2 linked regions of the Drosophila melanogaster genome follow. The protein of the gene in region 1 interacts with the protein of each later gene in a biochemical or structural test. Each region holds a gene or a part of one and is shown in the gene's direction. Other genes may lie near its edges.

Evidence for each region.
Region 2: the proteins of Syn (region 1) and Dap160 interact in far-western blotting, tested with the Drosophila melanogaster proteins (one study listed by BioGRID).

Annotation. Positions count from the first base shown.
Region 1 is NT_033777.3:10,188,906-10,198,828, forward strand, and holds the start of Syn (synapsin), read left to right. Parts: upstream 1-1,783; 5' UTR 1,784-1,989; intron 1,990-4,954; 5' UTR 4,955-5,108; intron 5,109-6,445; 5' UTR 6,446-6,463; coding exon 6,464-6,522; intron 6,523-6,810; coding exon 6,811-7,142; intron 7,143-7,712; coding exon 7,713-7,876; intron 7,877-7,935; coding exon 7,936-8,007; intron 8,008-9,923. UniProt on the Drosophila melanogaster protein: Plays a significant role in nervous system function, which is subtle at the cellular level but manifests itself in complex behavior.
Region 2 is NT_033779.5:21,134,379-21,144,397, reverse strand, and holds Dap160 (dynamin associated protein 160), read left to right. Parts: upstream 1-2,050; 5' UTR 2,051-2,159; intron 2,160-2,385; 5' UTR 2,386-2,609; coding exon 2,610-2,773; intron 2,774-2,845; coding exon 2,846-3,220; intron 3,221-3,389; coding exon 3,390-3,829; intron 3,830-3,907; coding exon of another isoform or gene 3,908-3,919; coding exon 3,920-4,181; intron 4,182-4,241; coding exon 4,242-4,389; intron 4,390-4,455; coding exon 4,456-4,722; intron 4,723-4,795; coding exon 4,796-5,686; intron 5,687-6,036; coding exon 6,037-6,285; intron 6,286-6,367; coding exon 6,368-6,641; intron 6,642-6,709; coding exon 6,710-6,883; coding exon of another isoform or gene 6,884-6,921; exon of another isoform or gene 6,922-7,267; intron 7,268-7,291; coding exon of another isoform or gene 7,292-7,302; exon of another isoform or gene 7,303-9,122; intron 9,123-9,368; coding exon 9,369-9,697; 3' UTR 9,698-9,959; downstream 9,960-10,019. Other genes in the region: pths (porthos), read right to left, coding at 1-386, 576-834, 895-1,092.

The DNA of each region.
Region 1 (9,923 bases):
GCTTTTCTAAGAGCAAACTCAAGCGGAAATGCCTGACACACCTACACACGCAATTCTGAACTAACATTATCAAACAACTTTATAATTAAAGCATTTTCATGCAGCTGGGCAGTAATATGCACCATTCAAGTCAACCTAAGGCTTTTAGCAAAAAAGTTAGTCATTTTTATTAGTTAATGAAAAAAACTTAACTCGTATCTGATGCTGCAGTTAAGAGAGAAAAGTTTTGGGCTAAGAGCGCATCTTGAAGAGAAACGAGAATAACTCAACTAACTCGCAAATTCGCGCATATTCCAGACAATTTAATACCATAATTTAAATGTTAGCTAGACACTCAACTAACTAAACCTATTTTGCATGAAGTTGGCTATAATCAGCAGTAGTTTTCCATCATTAAACTTCATTTGGTTTTTCGTTTTTGTTCACTTTAAAGTTTATACATTTTGCTGCTCTTTTCAACAGAGCGACGTGTGAGCAACACGTGAAAACAAGTTTTATGCAACAGCTCATTGTTTACTTATTGTTGTTGGGGTCGTTTGTAAAATGTGTTTATTTATTCGAAAAAGTTGTTTTTATTTGCTATTACTCAGCTACCTGCACTCCGCACTAATGATTATTACTTTTGAAACGCGTTAAAGCACTACAATTGTTAAATAGATTTAGTCGGGAACTTTCCGCTTGACACGTTAACAGTTCGAGAGATTGTTGGCAACTGAATCGCAGAGACGGAAATTGCTCTAAGCCAAGCTTTGCTGTTTCGGCTTGGCTGCTTTATTTTGTTTCTTCTTGTTTTAACTCTCTCTTTCTCTCGCTCTCTTTGTGCTGCTCTTTTTGGACACATCTTCGTTTGTTTTGGCCATTATTACTTTGCCTACTCATTCTGGCCATCGGAGGCGTTACCATATCGCTGGAAAAAGAATTTAAGCCATGGCTTTGGCGCCCAAGCAACAGCTCCCTTCGTCTTGGCCCAGTTGCTCTCTATTTTTATCAATTCGCCATGCTTGCTGATAAAAATATTACAATGTGCGTCAGTAACTCTAGGTGTAAGATCACTAAAAAAAAGTTTAACTCCTATTAAAAATATTCCAACAAATGAGAAATTTTTAACAAAGCCATTTCCTTGTTATTGTCAATATCTATTTTAAAGTATAATATCCAACCATTAGGAAAATGTTTTTTACAAACATATAAAATGTTTCTTGTTTAATAATTTAAAAACATTATAATTATGTTTTTTCAGAAACTATTTTTTGAAAAAAATGAATAATAATTCAAAAGTGTTGCATTATATTTGCAAGTACTAGATCTGTTGCTTACACCAAATTTTAAGAAAATTTGGCTTGCATGGTTGGTTTTGAATAGTGTATTATATAGTGGTGGTTGATGGAACTCGTAGCGTAACGCAGACTTCAATGAATCGATATGCCCGCAGGTTTCTCTTACTCACGCATGCGCACTAACTTCCAATGGGGTGGTCTTCGTAAAAGAGAGTAACCAGTGTTGGTAAAATATATAAAAATAACGGTGTATTTCAAGCAATTTTAGGAAGTTATTAATAAAAGCCTGGAAAATATTGAATCATATTTTAATTACTCATCCTGCCTGTCTATAAAACAACCAGTAGTGGATTATTAAGTATATATTTTACTATAAAATGCACATTGCACTGACTCTCTTTTCAAAACTCTCTCCAATATCTCTCCCTCTCTTTGAGTACTTACATGCCTTTACATTCGCACATTTCTTTTGGTGGGAAACTCTTGGATGAAAAGCCCACTCGCTCAGTGAAAATTTCATCACCGTCGTTGACAGTTCAGCCAAAATTCTCTAGCTCCACAAAATTCGCCCAGCCAAATCTCAAAATTATCTAAACTACATTTTTTGTTCACTTTTGATCATTAAAAGTCATCGCTTAACGTTCATCGGCCATTCGAGTGGAAATTTGTGAGCTCGAGCAGGAATATTCAAGTGAATTTTTAGCTCTTTTCGGTAAAGAAAAACGCAATTACCCAAAAATCGAAACACGGCTAAAGTGGAAAAAAAAATATATAAGAAATTTCTGTATCAGCTAGTCAGCGTTGTTTGCCCCCAGTGTGAGTGCAAGTGTCTGTGTGTATTTTGTGTGTGTGCGAGTGTGTGTGGGTTTGTGTCTGTGTGTGTACGTGATAAGCGTAGACAGACGCCGTAACAACAAAACTGAGACCCCGAGGTTAGAGAGGCACCATCGCTTTATTGAATTACAAGTAAAACAAAGAGCGCGACTTAGCTGGCGATTAAAGAGTCCTCAAAAGGGGAGAGGTGGAGGGGAAGTCGGAAAAAAAAGGGGATCCAAAGCGGGCGGTGGCAACCTGATAACCCACAAACCCACTGCCAGCGGGAGCCGAGCAAATAGTCCTGAGTGGCGGTTTTGATACTGCTAATTGCTTGGGAAAAATTAATTAAAAACCTTGGTCTCTAAAACTATTTACCACTGGTCGCTTGGAGAGATAATTCTTTATATTTCGCTTTAGATTCAACTTGTTTTTGATCTTAGCTATTGGTTCTGGGTAACTGAAACTATTTTTAAAACGAATTATCTTAGTTAAAGAACATCAGAAAATGCTTTCTGATATATCCAATAAGCTTAAATTTATACGCACAAGCCCAATTTTATTTCTTGAGTTCTAAAGTGGCAAAATCTTTATAGCTTAACTAAAAGCCATAAAAGTCTTTGACCCCAGACGGAAATAGCTGCCACAATTTGCGTGAGCCAACGGTACAATTTACTCTGAAATGCTTGGCAGTTTTAATTACCATCGAAAAGACATTACGCCCTGTTTTATGACAAGCCAACGCACATATCAACACAAAGCATTCTCGTAAGGGAAAAGCCACTGGAAAATGGGTTAAATGTGGCTGCAGGTGCTGCAGGTGCTGCAGCTCCGGATGTAGAGTCCTGCATTTACCCATTCCGCAACTCGTTCTCGCATTGCAGTTTATATAAAACGGTTGACAGAAAATGCAACTGCTTAAGCTGCCATAAAAGGAAACTTTAATTTGCCACTGACGTTGATGGATTGTGTTGCAACTTCGCTCTTACCGGGAAAATAGCCCAAGCCACCCACAAGATCGGGGGGTTAAGCCGGGCCATAAAGTTTTTCCAGCACAGATTTGTGCTGGGTACCAAAAAGTTGCGGGCAAAAACAGTCCAGAGAAGTTCCAAAGCCTCCGGAAAGGGCAACCCAACAGCCGAGACCCTCAACACGTTACTGTGATTATTAATTCAAAAAGTTTTCACACACACGTACAGCCAGGCAGCCAAAAGTAGAGGGATGTGTGCTCGTTCAGACAACACGGCGGATGAAAATATCCCGCAAACGAGCTGTACTGGCAATCAGCCGAATGGCAACACATGTATATCGATGCTAGACGGTTATGAATTATGCAAGAAATACCAGGAAGTTAAGGAGCCTGACCAACTTAATTTGGGCAAATAACGAGGACCAATCTGCTGGCTGGATAATTAAATAAGACTTAAAGTTGGCCAAATAAGTTTATCGAAAAACCGCTCAGTTATTACTGTTTTGATAGGCAAAATAAACAGAGCAAACAAACAATCGGGGCCATCAATAATGAAATCGATTTGTATAAGCTCTACTTAGTCACCCAGCCTGCGAGTTAGTCCGTTTCTGACGTGTGCTGAACTTTGACATTTGGGAACACGCTAAAGAAAATGCCAAATGTCAAAACTGTCCGTGTTGGAAAGTGCAGCTATCGCACAGCTTCTGGTCGAAAATCAGAGAATCCCAGCTCAGCTGTGTGTGGGGGCCAAAAAGTAAGTCACAGACAGAACGGCGTCCCTGCGTATACGTAATCTTCTTAGCCACAGCAACTCATTATTAGAGCTTATGTCATGAATGGATAAGGAGGAGTCGGGATTTTATTATCGGAAAAATTGGAAAGTCTTGACTTTGTAATGAACTTCAACAATGTATGTGCATCTCATTGGACCAGCAAGGACATCCTCAATTGTTTAACCCTAAAAAGTAGGCTACGAAAAGTTGCACAACCGCCTTGAATATTTTAGTTATGATAAGTGAATCAGCACTTTGCTTGCGACCTTTGGGACACATTAACGCAATTTTCCCGCACTTAGCTGGGACCGCAGAGGCAAAAGGCTTGGCCTGCTGATTTGTTTAGGTGTTATTTACACATAACATTTGGTTATTCGGCCGCAAATCTTTCACATTTTTTTCGTATTGCCTAGGGATGTGTGTTTTCGAGTTTTTCAGTGAGCGTTCAGTGGTGTTTGTATACTATGTCCTACATAGAGGCCACTGCCAGTGCAATGAACCAAAAACAATGTTTTGCTTGGCAGTCGACGGCAAAAAAAAAAAGAGAGCAACAAAAGCGACAGTCAGTCGTCCCTGGGGATGTTAACCAGTCGCTCGTCCGTTCATTCATTCCGCCATCCATCCATCCATCCAGTCGTCCCATTGCCTGGACATCCTCTGCCTGATAGCTGTTCGAGTTGATTTGCTCTTTGTGTTTTCCCTTTTCTTTTATTTTTCCGTATTTCCTTCAACTTTTGGCGATAAGTTACCGGACCGAAGCCAGCTAAATAAAAGGGTTTCGATGAAGTTCGTCGGGGGAATATGTGTGGCAGTGATAAACTTAAGGATGCAGTGGGTTTCATTTAATAAGAGAAAGTTAAGACTACATTTTTATAAATTTTTGTCATTTACCAGAAGTTCATTATGCGGGGCACATAATTGAACCTAGGTTGCTTTAGGTGTCACTCATTTAATTAAAAACATTAAGCTTTATAGAATTTAAGCTTTGTTGGAATCTTCCTCTGCTTAATATAATTCTCAATATATTTAATAATTAATAGAAAAAAAGAAAAAATATCAGAAAAAATTAAAAGATTAATTGTCCTTCCATTTAATTTAAAAGATTAATTCCCTACTTACAGATTAAAATAGCGACCGGATAGCCTGAGATTCGTCGTAGTAACGAAGCGAACCCCTGCGAAAACGGAGGCCAACTGCTCGACTTAATTGTCGACCACTGTCAATATTAGCGCCATCGCAACTGCTGGGTGTGGGCGAATCTGCGCCCCGCCACCGGTAAGACTGTTCCAAGATTCGTTCGCGCTTTCAGAACCCACTCATTTCACTTTGGCTTTTCTATATGGCACCCAAAGATATCACTCGAATCATATGGCAAAACACACTCACATATCTATAGCCTTGCTACGCTTTCATCAGCAAATTGCTTTTCAGTTTTTTCAGCTTCAATCTTTTTTGTTTTTCCACCAAGCTGCCCACTTGAACCTTTTCGCACACAAACACGCAAATTTACCCACAGGGGGTCGGTGTGCTGGTGTGTGCCTGAGACCAACATTATTATTATGTAGGGGCTGAAAAGTTTCAAGTGGCTGTAGGCCTGCGGGCCACGATAATAAATACAAAACGCACAGCGCCGTTTTGGCCACAAGTGTTTGACATTGTTGACTTGGTCCAAAAGAGCCCCCCAAACGCTAAACTTCACCACCGATTGATTTCTAACGTTATGCGCCACACAAAAGATCCTTGGAAATATAATGGCTATGCAATTTCAACACACTGGCCATTGTCCTTAAATGTCCTTGGCTTGTGCACCTGTTGCCGTTAGCTCGACTTTATACTCATGCCCACACGCCGTTCGTTTTAATGTTCTGTTCGTGGTGCTTATTTTAATTAAAATTAAGTTTGAGACACCTTAATTGCCATTTTAATAGAACTTTAGTTTTCACTTAGACCAACTCCGTCTCTATCTATCTCTCTCTCTGTCCGCTAAAACAATATGCATATCCTTTTAAACCACACATTCACGACATTTTCCTAAAGGCAAATGCAACTTTTGTGATTTCATGGCGTACTAAACCCATTATTCCGACAGTAAGTGAAATCAAATGAAACCATTGGAGTTTGTTTTATATAAATATACTAATCTTTAAACCAGTTGACATATGAAATTTGAAATGAGTTTTCCCCTCACTTCACTACATTACATTATGACTATGTAATGTTTTTTACGATTTTTACCATCTTTCACTGCGAAAATGCACATTCGAAGTGACCACATTACGCATACGCCACATTGGCGTAACTGAATTAGAGAAAGTTTTCAAAACAATTAGGATCCAAGTGAGAACGTTGGCTTAGCTTGGCCACAAAATCTCATTAACTTCTTGCAATAAAGTTAAATAAAGGGACAAACATATGAACTAAGTGACTTATTTTATGTTTGTGAGACGCTTTAAATTACTGTATGCCTTAATGTTCAATGTCTATGCACAATAAATATCAGAAATCATTAAATGAATGCCCAAATTGAAAGCACTCTAGCTAATTAATTAGCAAATCAACTATACTTTGTATGTGTTTTTTTTTTATGTATTTTCGCGTGCCGCGGATCAAAGGAGCCAAAAAGCAGCACCCTGAATTTCTCGTCGTTCAAATCGAGCTTCACTTCCAATGTTAATTTCCTGAAGAGAAGGTAAAGACCTTAAAAAAGGAAGTGCCCCCTTTGGCAGAAGGGGGCCCAGTTGAACGAAACTAATTTGAAATTTCATATGTTCGTCTATTTCTCTATCTTTTCTTCTCGGGCGGTATTTGTCTACCACCCCATTTGATTATCTCATCCTTTTTTCACTCAATTGCGCCGCACCATTTAATCTGTCTACTTGTCTGGCGGTTGAAAAACAACCGAATCAATCAAAAACACTCGATTACTCGAACACCACCTACCACAACCACAACCCACCCACACGAAAACTACTAACAGATTCAGCTCGGGAGACTTGTCTTCCGAGGTAGACGATGTCGATCCGAATAGCCTGCCGCCGGCGGCGCGGCCCATCCAAGATCAGCCGACGAAGCCGCCGGTTGCCGGCGGACCGCCGAATATGCCGCCACCGCCGGCTCCCGGCCAACCGGCCGGAGCTGCTCCGGAGCTGTCGTTGAGCTTTGGCGCCGGCAAAACCCCGGCGACGGCCGCACCTGCTCCACCACGTGGTGTCAGTGCGCCGACCAGTCCGGCCAAGTCGCGCGAAAGCCTGCTGCAGCGGGTGCAGAGCTTGACCGGCGCTGCCCGGGATCAGGGAGCCTCCATTTTGGGTATGCTTTGGCATTGGCAGGCACCTACACTCAGAAAAATATGGCAGTCAATCAGTCACATAACATGTAGAGACGGCATCATCAAGTCTTGGTATATATAGTAAACAATCCACTTTATAAGCAATGCGTCTCTGTCAATCCATACCATTATGTTACTGTAATTGTTGTCCTTCTATTTACCTGTTGATTGCTTTTAGTTTAAATATAGTAACCGTTATTATCCTTGGTATTTATAGATGCTATGGGTGATCACTTACAACAACTCCTTTACTGTAGAACAAGATATACAATTTCAATTCCTTTGTAAACTTTTTAAATAACTATTCTATTACTCTATTAACAATTCATGGGTGACTTCATCTTTAATGTGAACTTATAAAATATTAAATATTTTACGTTCTATTAATTGTTTAAGTAGTCAATGAGAAACAGACTCAAAATCCCGAAGTAAACCGTCTTAAATAACTTTAATGGTTGTGTCTTACCAAATGTTGCAATCTATGAGATTTTTCTGAGTGTAGGGACTGTTTATTGGTCTCTGAGCATGGAATGACATCTAACCCAAAACAGGAGCTGCGGTTCAGAGCGCCACACAACGGGCACCGGCATTCAGCAAGGACAAGTACTTCACGCTGCTGGTTTTGGATGACCAGAACACGGACTGGTCCAAATACTTCCGGGGCAGGCGCTTGCACGGCGACTTCGACATCCGAGTGGAGCAGGCCGAGTTTAGGGCAAGTACCATACCATTTCTCATCCGGTAATCGGGATAATTACTGTTTGTCCACTGCAGGACATTACGGTGGTCTCCAGCGCGGACACCGGACCAGTTGTCACCATGGCCGCCTATCGCAGTGGCACTCGGGTGAGTTATCCAAGACACTGAAACAAATTACACTGGTATATATATATATCCATACCAGTGTATACCATATACCATATACCATATATATGTATATAGTGACGTATTTGGGTGGTCCAAACCAGCCACTTCCATTATTTCAAAGAAATCAGTAATGCACTCTAGTAATTTTCCATAACGTATCCCAGCTGCGCAGCATTCGTTTATCTTTGGCAGCGCAGCCGTTCTTGTAAACATCCTAAAGCCTGACCTAAGCAGATTTGACTGCCCTCTTTCAACGCTACCTAATCTTAAGAACCCAAGAGCGAGGCTCTCCCGAAATACAAATATTGTTCAAATACTGAGGCTTCTCCTCAATCCAATTTGCATTTGATTTTTAGTCTTAAGCTGAGATCCAAAGAATAAAGTCGTGAAACTATTTCTCCTAAAAACTATTTTTTATTTCTTGGCGTTGTCCTTAGTCAACTGACGGGACATTAGTTCGACTCATAAATAAAACAACAATTTTACTGGCGCAGTCGGTAGGATACAAAAGTATCCGAAAAAAAGAACCTTCGAGTGGAAAATAAGTTAAATTTTATAGTCCAGTGCTCGAAACATCTCCCAAAATAAATTCGTGAAAACTCTTCAACTTGGATTATAATTCCAATTCGGTTATCCAATAATAAGTGGAAGTGAAATACGAAACAAAAATATTAAGTCCAAAGGCAACTAAGTTTTAAAACCAACATATAAAAATAAAAAATTAAAACAATATAGAATTTTAATAATACAACACAAAAATTTACAAAACAAAAAAAACAAACAAGTGAAACTAGAAAGCTTAAAAATAATAATAACATTGAATCCGAAACAAAACAAAAAAATAAAACACAAAAGTTAAAAATTTTACAATAAAAATGTCACAACCAATTATTGCGCTGAGCGACATAAACCTTGCCGAAGCCCGTCGGCAGCTTAAAGACATTATGCCATTCAAAGGTGATCCAGAAACCCTTCACACCTTTATCAGCAGAGTGGATTACGTAATTTCGCTCTACCAAACAAATGATGTCCGACAACAGAGGATTCTACTGGGAGCCATCGAAAGGAACTTGGACGGACAAATTACACGATCTTTGGGACTTCCGAACATCGAAGATTGGCCTACCCTTAAAGCAAGACTCATCGCGGAATTTAAAATTCAAACACCAAACTACAAACTTCTGGAGAACTTCAGGGAGACACCATACAGAGGAAGCCTAAGAGCATTCTGCGAAGAAGCGGAGAGACGACGTCAATTACTAATTTCGAAACTACACCTGGAAGGTAACCAATCGGATTTTCTTATTTATATTCAGGGTATTAAAGAATCTATTAAGATACTGATAAGGAAACTACCAATACAATTATTCACTATTTTAGCCCATCACGATATTACAGACTTAAGATCCTTAATTACCATTGCACAAAATGAGGGAATTTATGAAGAACACATTAATTTTGAATTTTATGAAAAACCAGAATATCGTAATAAAAATTCAAATTCTAACCGGAATTCGAAAACACAAAAATTCAATACAAATGTTCAAACTCAAAATCGACCAAGTTACTCACAATATTCCCAACCCTTCCAACCTAATTTTAATCAATACATTCAACCATTTAGACCTAGCTATACACAGCAGATAACTAACAACCCACCCATGTGGCACGCACCTAATTATTTCAGACCCAACCAATACATAAACCCACAACCCATTATTCAAAAAAATCATTTCCAACAATATCCCAACAAAGCCCAATTTCCCCAAACAACGCATTTTAGAGGAAATACATACCCTCGACTACAACAACCCTCTACATATAAAAATACTAACTTCCCGATTACTAAACGACTAAGACCATCGGACAGTGAACAAACTAAAATGTCTATTGAC
Region 2 (10,019 bases), on another chromosome or scaffold:
AAACAAATATGATTGCTGCAGCTGCTCAACCGTCTGATACTTGTTAGACACCTCTACCTTTACGGGATCCTTAAGGGAGGCACGCTGCAGTTTCTTTACTTTCTTGGTCATGGTCGCACTGAACAGAAAGGTTCGTCGTTCACGCGGCAATACCTTCAGAATCTTGTCCAGCTCCACCTCAAAATCCATGTTAAGAATGCGATCCGCCTCGTCCATGACCAAGTATTTAATAGCCTTAAGGTTAAAACCTTTCATGTTTTCTAGATGATCAACCAAGCGACCCGGTGTGGCAATTATAATATGCGGCTTCTTGGCCAGTTGAAGACCCTGGGCTACCATGTCCATGCCGCCGACTACCACGCAACACTTTATGCCAATCCCGCTACCTGAAAAAAACAGAGCTAGCATAAGTTTGGCAGAAGGAAATTCAAGAATACGATAAATGGGAAGGTTTTTTTACTCAGAGGTAGTGACGAATAAGAAAATTATAATTTCATATTTTCGTTGATACACAAAATCAAAACAGGTTTAACATCACTGCGAATTAAAAGCACATAAACTATGCGAAAACTCACCAAGGGCTTCAAACTGCTCGCCAATTTGAAATGCCAGTTCCCTCGTGGGGGTTAGCACGAGGGCAAAATACCGCTGCGGATTCTCGAGAAGGGCGTGTAAAATTGGCAGAGCGAAGGCGCCCGTCTTGCCGGAACCGGTCTCCGCTAGGCCAATTACATCCTTGCCCTGTAAGGCGACCGGAATGGCCTCACGTTGGATCTTCGAAGGCGCCTTCCACTTCAATTCGTCACATGCTTGACACAAAGCCTCATTGAGACCCTTTGAAGAAATATGGCCATTCGATTAAATTTTAATTTAAATTAATAGTGGGGCTCATACGAGATCTTTCCAGGTTAGCTTCTGTTCCTCGGCTGCGTCGTCCTCGGAGCCTTTATCATCTTCACCACTTAGTGCCGCCTCGCTGTCCCCTTCCTTATGATTGTTATCTTCATCTTCCTGCTCCTCCTCGCTACCTAGATCCTCCTCTTCGTCACTCGTTTGTAGCTGCGTCTGTTCGTCCTCTGAAGTTTCCGACATTTTGTTACATGAGTTTCAGAAAAATTTCACGGTACGGACATTACCAATAGCAGCACGTGGTCGAAATAAAAGAATTAGAGGCGGTAAAATAGAAATAGAACTATTTGCGATATTATCGATATAGTTGCGTCTTTAAAACAGTGCAGATTCATGATAACTTTCGATAGCTAATGTGCGATATATCACATGCACACTTAATAAAATTTGTAACTCATTCATACTGAACCATGATCTTAATTACAGGACTTAGTTATAGTGCAAATAGTTTGTTTCGGAAATATATTCACATTTGTATAAAATCGTAATTTGTTAGAAAATTGTTTAATATTGTGATTTTGTCATTTCAGTTAATATAACAATGTTTGAAAATAGATGGTGAATACAAATTTGGTATACATCTTTTTCCATCGCGCAATTTTAAATTAATGAAACGCCAATTAGAGGGTTGTCTGTCATGAACTGTCAACGAATAAAAACTGTTTGACATTTTCATACACAAATGTTATTGATGCTATTATTAACAATTCCGTTAAATCCGGAACAAAAGATTTCTGAATAATTGTCATTTTTAATTGTATAGAAATATTAAAGACAATAAAAGAAAAAAATAGTTGAAATAATTTAACTGACTTGTACTTAACATTTTCTTATAATTTTGGATATTCGAATTTTAATCTTCGATTTTGTTTATTGCGATCTGTTGATGTTTTGGTTAGGTATACATTTTCGTATTGTGTTAAATGCATCATACTGCCGACATAATTTTTATGAGGTTCACTGTAGAAGTAATATAATTAATATATTACTCATAGTCAGTAGTTGTTTCATTTATTTAAAAATCCGTTAGCGGCTAAAAACAAAAACGTTGCAGAATAGTCACATCCAACTTAAGGTCACCGTACTTTTCAACACTTGCTTGCTATAATCACAGAAACAAGCGACGGTCACCCTCCTTCGATTATTAGTCCGTACCTATCGGAGCCTATCGTTCGTCGATATAGGATCCTATCATATAAAATATTGATTAAAATTTACGCAAATACAAAATTTTCTTGTTCCGATGAAAAGTAAGCAACAAAATTACAGTTAAGAGGGATATATAAGAGAATAACGTGTGCGTTGGCGGGGACCATACCACATCATTACTTATCAGTTAATTCGTGGCTATGCGGTTGACAAGTGAAAACGCCTACTAAAGAGAAACTAAAACCTTCAGAAAGCGAGTAAAGGGGGCAATCTATCTTTACAACCTGTCCATTGAGATCGCTTAATATTTTTGGAAATGCTTTATAGGTAAACCATAAAAATCCATTGTGAAAATTTGTGGGGGTGGTGGATACTGAATAGGCGATAGACGTAGTAAAGAGAGCGGCGAAAAGAGTGCGGAGCGAAAGAGTTTGTATTTGATGTGTACTCAAAAGTAGCCGAAGAGAGCGCACTAATACACACGCATACGGAAAAAGGACGATAAAGAGGAAGAGCTTTCCGTGGAAACTAGGATAAAGTGTTTGCCCAAAATGAACTCGGCGGTGGATGCGTGGGCTGTGACCCCGAGGGAGCGTTTGAAGTACCAGGAACAGTTTAGGGCACTCCAGCCGCAGGCAGGATTCGTTACCGGCGCCCAGGCCAAAGGGTTCTTCCTGCAGTCCCAGCTGCCGCCCCTGATCCTGGGCCAAATATGGTATGTATATTACGCCCCCATGAATCATCCACCGATAAGAGTGTTAATTCTTACTCATTTTCTTATCTCCAGGGCTCTGGCGGACACTGATTCCGACGGCAAGATGAACATCAATGAGTTCAGCATAGCCTGCAAGCTTATCAACCTCAAGTTGCGCGGCATGGACGTTCCCAAGGTTCTTCCTCCCAGCCTGCTGTCGTCTCTTACCGGCGATGTCCCCTCGATGACGCCACGTGGCTCCACAAGCTCCTTGAGCCCTTTGGATCCACTCAAGGGAATAGTTCCGGCAGTAGCTCCAGTTGTTCCCGTTGTGGCTCCACCGGTGGCTGTGGCTACTGTCATTTCACCGCCTGGAGTCTCAGTGCCGTCTGGCCCCACACCCCCCACCAGCAATCCACCTAGTCGCCACACGTCTATCTCAGAGCGAGCGCCATCGATCGAGTCTGTGTAAGCATCACTTAGAATCGAATTAATGATTTAATATTATTAATGTAGCAAAGAAGAGATAATTTAATTAATTAAATTTCAAATATTCTTAGTTATTGAAATATTAGCAAAAACATATATATAATATCGTATCTGTTCTTAACTCCTCAATCAACTTCTATCCTTTTAGCAACCAAGGAGAATGGGCCGTTCAAGCTGCCCAAAAGCGTAAATACACGCAGGTGTTCAATGCTAATGATCGCACCCGATCTGGTTACTTAACTGGATCCCAGGCACGCGGCGTTCTCGTACAGAGCAAGTTACCCCAGGTCACGCTGGCCCAAATCTGGACGCTGTCCGACATCGACGGCGATGGACGGCTGAACTGCGACGAGTTTATTCTTGCCATGTTCCTATGCGAGAAGGCCATGGCTGGTGAGAAAATTCCGGTTACCTTGCCCCAGGAATGGGTACCGCCCAACTTGCGCAAAATAAAATCGCGACCGGGATCGGTCTCAGGGGTGGTATCCCGTCCTGGCTCACAGCCGGCCTCCCGACACGCATCTGTTTCATCCCAAAGCGGAGTGGGAGTCGTGGATGCTGACCCAACAGCCGGACTACCTGGACAAAGTAAGTGCTTAATTAACTCCGTTGCCAAACATGTGAATATATTCCATATATTAACACTTGTGATTTCGCGTTCACCAGCTTCCTTCGAAGACAAGCGAAAGGAGAATTATGTTAAGGGTCAAGCAGAGCTGGATCGTAGGCGCAAAATTATGGAGGACCAGCAGCGCAAGGAGCGGGAAGAGAGAGAGCGAAAGGAGCGTGAAGAGGCTGATAAGCGTGAAAAGGCTCGTTTGGAGGCCGAGCGTAAGCAGCAGGAGGAACTAGAGCGACAGCTCCAACGCCAGCGAGAGATTGAGATGGAGAAGGAGGAGCAGCGCAAGAGGGAACTGGAGGCTAAGGAGGCGGCCAGAAAGTAAGGACTTTTATCTTGCTTTGAGCGACAAAACAATGTATACAATTTCTATTGTATCAGGGAGCTTGAGAAGCAGCGCCAGCAGGAATGGGAGCAGGCTAGAATTGCCGAAATGAACGCACAGAAGGAGAGGGAACAAGAACGTGTTCTAAAGCAGAAGGCACACAACACCCAGCTTAATGTGGAGCTCAGCACACTGAATGAAAAAGTAATGTTCTTAAAGTACAACTAATCTATATGGCTGGCCTATCTAACTAACTCGGCTTAATTACAGATCAAGGAGCTTTCGCAGAGGATTTGCGACACTCGTGCCGGCGTGACAAACGTAAAGACCGTTATCGACGGAATGCGCACCCAGCGCGACACTTCCATGTCCGAAATGTCGCAGCTGAAAGCGCGGATTAAGGAACAGAACGCTAAACTGCTTCAGCTCACCCAAGAGAGGGCCAAGTGGGAGGCCAAGAGCAAGGCCAGCGGGGCTGCCTTGGGAGGGGAGAATGCGCAGCAGGAGCAACTGAATGCCGCATTCGCCCACAAGCAGGTGAGCTTTGGCATATACGTAAAGTTTTAGTATTCAACGGATTCTCTAAAATACTATTTACCTTTTTCAACAGTTAATTATTAACCAAATAAAGGATAAAGTCGAGAATATCAGTAAAGAGATTGAGTCAAAGAAGGAGGACATCAACACTAATGATGTACAGATGTCTGAGCTCAAGGCCGAGCTCTCCGCTCTAATCACAAAGTGCGAGGATCTGTACAAGGAATACGATGTGCAGCGCACCTCGGTGCTGGAATTGAAGTACAATCGAAAGAACGAAACTAGTGTATCGTCGGCCTGGGACACAGGCTCTTCCAGTGCTTGGGAGGAGACGGGTACGACTGTCACCGATCCCTACGCAGTTGCGAGCAATGATATCTCCGCACTGGCCGCTCCAGCTGTGGACTTAGGGGGACCGGCCCCAGAAGGATTCGTGAAATATCAAGCAGTATACGAGTTCAACGCACGCAACGCGGAGGAGATTACCTTTGTGCCTGGTGACATTATCCTGGTGCCATTGGAGCAGAACGCCGAGCCGGGATGGTTGGCTGGCGAAATAAATGGCCACACCGGCTGGTTCCCTGAATCCTATGTGGAGAAACTAGAAGTCGGTGAAGTTGCTCCTGTCGCCGCTGTCGAAGCCCCGGTTGATGCTCAAGTGGCCACCGTGGCTGACACCTACAATGACAATATCAATACCAGCTCGATTCCGGCAGCTTCCGCAGATCTGACTGCCGCCGGCGATGTCGAGTATTATATAGCCGCATATCCTTATGAGTCCGCCGAGGAAGGCGATTTGAGCTTCAGTGCCGGTGAGATGGTCATGGTCATCAAGAAGGAGGGTGAGTGGTGGACAGGTACCATTGGTAGCCGCACGGGCATGTTTCCTTCGAACTATGTCCAAAAGGCTGATGTGGGCACAGCGAGCACAGCCGCTGCCGAACCGGTAGAATCTCTTGATCAGGTAAGTGGATAGATAGTACATAATTAAGTAATGTGTGGGGCCATTTGCGTTTTAAATTGATTGGAACTAGAATCAAGAATTATAATATTATTATGTATACAAAATCGTGTACAATTTCATATTAAAAAAAAGTAAGCGACATTATTTATATAAGAGAGAAGTGAATTTAGTTCCCATATAAGAGAATATAAACGCTAAATATACAGGCCAACACTTTATCTTACTTGTAAAGAGTTTACAATCCCGAAGTCTAGAGTCGTGTCTAACCGTTGCCCTCACGTCCATCTACTAATCCAATGCTTTTCATGTGCTGTGCTTTTTGCTACCGTGTTACACTTGCACTGACCCAGGAGACGACGCTAAACGGCAACGCTGCCTACACCGCTGCTCCCGTGGAGGCACAGGAGCAGGTTTACCAGCCGCTGCCTGTTCAGGAGCCCAGCGAGCAGCCGATATCTAGCCCAGGCGTTGGCGCCGAGGAGGCGCACGAAGACCTCGACACTGAAGTTTCCCAGATAAATACACAGTCCAAAACACAGAGCAGCGAGCCTGCCGAGAGCTACAGCCGACCCATGTCACGCACCTCTTCCATGACACCCGTAAATAGTTGACACAGCCCGTTACCACTTCATTTATTGTTTCATTTAATGAACCAACATCTTTTTCGTCATCATTTTGCAGGGAATGCGTGCCAAGCGGTCTGAGATTGCTCAAGTAATCGCGCCCTATGAGGCAACCAGCACGGAACAGCTTTCGCTGACGAGAGGCCAATTAATAATGATCCGTAAAAAGACGGACTCCGGCTGGTGGGAGGGTGAGCTGCAGGCAAAGGGTCGACGGCGGCAGATCGGATGGTTCCCGGCCACTTACGTGAAGGTTCTCCAAGGCGGGCGCAACAGCGGACGGAATACTCCGGTTTCCGGTAGTCGAATCGAGATGACTGAACAGATCTTGGGTTGGTTTTTGAATATTCGTAGTATGATTTAAATAAATTATTTTATCTATATCGTTTTTCCCATGCAGACAAGGTCATTGCTCTCTATCCGTACAAAGCACAAAATGACGACGAGCTGTCGTTTGATAAGGACGATATCATTAGCGTTCTGGGTCGGGATGAGCCGGAGTGGTGGCGTGGCGAGCTGAATGGCCTTTCCGGTCTCTTCCCTAGCAACTATGTGGGGCCCTTCGTGACGTCCGGTAAGCCAGCAAAAGCAAATGGCACCACCAAGAAGTGAATCTCACATACCGATCCAGCTTAGCTCTCTAGTTACCACATTCCGTACACATATTGTTATGTTTACTATTATTTTCGAATTATCCATTATCGATTCCAATAAGTTCTCGCCTATTCTCGCTATTGAAACCCCCACTTTAGTGTTTATTTGTTGCAATATTTCCAAGATGTATCTAATTGTTAATTGTGATTATTTAGTTTTTAGATTTACTCCTAAGCTTATCACTAGCGACCTCTCTATTTTCGCTTAGCTAATTTCTAGTGTTATTTCATTTATGTATTTATTTAGTCGGCATAATTATATTTTGTATTTCACTTATTGTACATAAATTAAAAGAATTAAATCCAATTTCGATCTTAATTGCCAACAGGAAACGTATAACGAGCCTTCGGGTTTGGCCTCTAAGCGGCATCAGGCACTTGCATACAGAAAATCCGATAGATAATCTACATGATCCTTTGGGAGTTGGGTTAGCTTAAGATCAGCATCAGCAGCAGCATCAATATCCTCAGTAATTACCTAACGGGAATTCGTACAGTATTCTAGAAAGCCTATAAGTTGGCTAAATTCATTGTTGAACCTGAAAGTTTATGCATAATGTTTATCCTATTCGGTGTAAAATTCCCTTAACTTGATAGAATTAGGCAGATATCATGTGAAATCATTTATAGAATCAAACACTGCTCTCACGTTCGTAACAAATCAAACGAAAGATACAACCGAATTTTAGTAAGTCACATTTTAAAGGGTTTATATAATAATCTGCATATGGAAACTACAATATATATAAGGATATCAAATGACACTTGAAATTTTGTTAAATGTAGATGTGTTTATCGATCAAATCCAGAATATTCAGCAGTTTTTTCCCCAAATGCTACCACAAATACGCAAATAGTATCTATAACGATGGTTTTCTGTGTTTTCCAATAATATCCGAATGTAATTGTATATACTGAAAGTATTAAAACCAAAAGTGGGAGTATACATTATTGTTAACTAAATATTAAGCATGATGACCATTTACTTATATCTTTATAAAGACATCAAGTTTAATGAAAAAACGGGAAATATATTTGTAATGGCTAATTTCAGTTTAACTTAACAATAACGTACTTGATTTATTGACTAAGTTAAGCGCTTATCTGAACTGCCATAACTGTATTAATTTTACGTGTATTGTCTCATTGATAATGTTACATTTGTTTGCATGTAAAAACTAAGTATGTACAAAATCCACACATAGTTCTTTCCACCCGATTGGATTGATAGTCGGATATTATAGAGGGCCACGTTATACTGTTCGAATCATTCTATGCTAGTTACATTTAGTCTATTTAACAAATCACACTACACATGTATCTACGCTATCTCGTACATATGAAGAAACACTGTCGAATGCCTTTCAAATTGATAACCAAACAGTCACTTTAAACGGACTAACTTAATCGTAACTTGTTATTGCATACCACGACTACATATGCGTCTATAACTATATTAAATGAAACCAAAGTAAAGAATCGTTATGAGCCCCACATGGCTGCGATCAGTTGGTGCTGTAATCCCAACTGATCAGCTGGGTGGGTAAGTTCTAAAAGCATTAACACATATTTATGTAGCAAATGTTGGGTTGTTTAATTCCACATATAAATGTACTAATAACTTTGAACGAACCACAAAAGAAGCATAGCATATACCTAATATATACAGAAAATACTACAATTTCTTTAGAAAACGCAAAGCAAATATGTTAATTGAGATATTCGTACATTCCGCGTCCCGCATATACACTCCTGCATACATATAATGCGTACTCATATAAGCGTACTTGTTTAATCGTTACAAAAGTTTGTTATTGTAAACAATGCTTAAGCGTAATTACTGACGAGGCGCAAAATACCGATCAAATGCATTAGCACACCTACACTAAAAAATCACTTTAAACGCGAAATGAAGACCATCGATATATTTACCTATATACAAGCTGAGGTGAGAGGTGAGCAGAACTTGCAGAACTCTTCTGCAGACGTGCAATGCATTCGAGTAAATATAAAGTGAATTCTTCTAGAAAAACAAAACAAAAAACTACTATAAAACATATTGAAATATATTAGTTTCAAAGATAGACAAAAACAAAAAGAGAAGAGCAAAAATATTAAATTAAATTATGAAAATAACAAATTACACATATTTGGTGCAATAAATGTATAAAAGAAAATCAAACAAAATGTTTACGTTTCTCTTTCCGTTACTCGTAGATTCGCTAAGGAGTGTGTAGCAGGTAGTTCTGTACATTTAGTATATCTATGATATCTATGATCTCTTGCAGTGGCCACTTGTTATGTCCGAAACATGGGTACACTCGGCTATTGCGAACTTTATGGGCTGCACACCTGACGAATGCATTTAAAAGAGTATTCATAATAGTTATGCCTCTACACCCGCAGAGATCAAGCCAGATCCAGGTGCCTGTTCTAGAAGATCCAAGGGAATCCAGCGGTTATGGCAACAGTGGCGCGGATGCGATATCGACCAGGCTGCACAGCACGGAGATGCATCCAACAATAAGCTGCGAGGCATTATTCAGGCCGTGCACATAACCAAGCGGCGGGATGGCCAACTAATGGGATGTGCCTATGTCCGGTTTGAGTGCAATGAGCTGTTGGCCAAGTCCATGCTTCAGGAAAATGGGAATCAATTGGTTGGCAAAGCAGTGGTGGTCGACTGGCAGCCAGAATTGCCGAAAAAACGATTTCGTCAGTGGCGTTGCTGGTGAAAGAACACCCATACAAACCCGCCCATACAAATACAACATACTTAGTTGCTAATTGCAAGTGTGGGTTAAGATTGTTTTGCTTTCCTCAATAATTTTATTTTTAGTAAAATTTTTTCTTATAAATTATTTAAAATCAGTTTAACAATTTACAATTTTTTGTTTAGGTTTTGCACCGTGTGTTTTTATTAAATTTTTGTTAATCTTGCGCTATCAATATTTATTTTTAGTTTTGAAGTATGCACAACTTAGGGCCTACGGTATGAAAATTGCAAACACGTTCTCGATTTAGTCAGTAATTGAATTCAATATTAGTTTTCTTAAG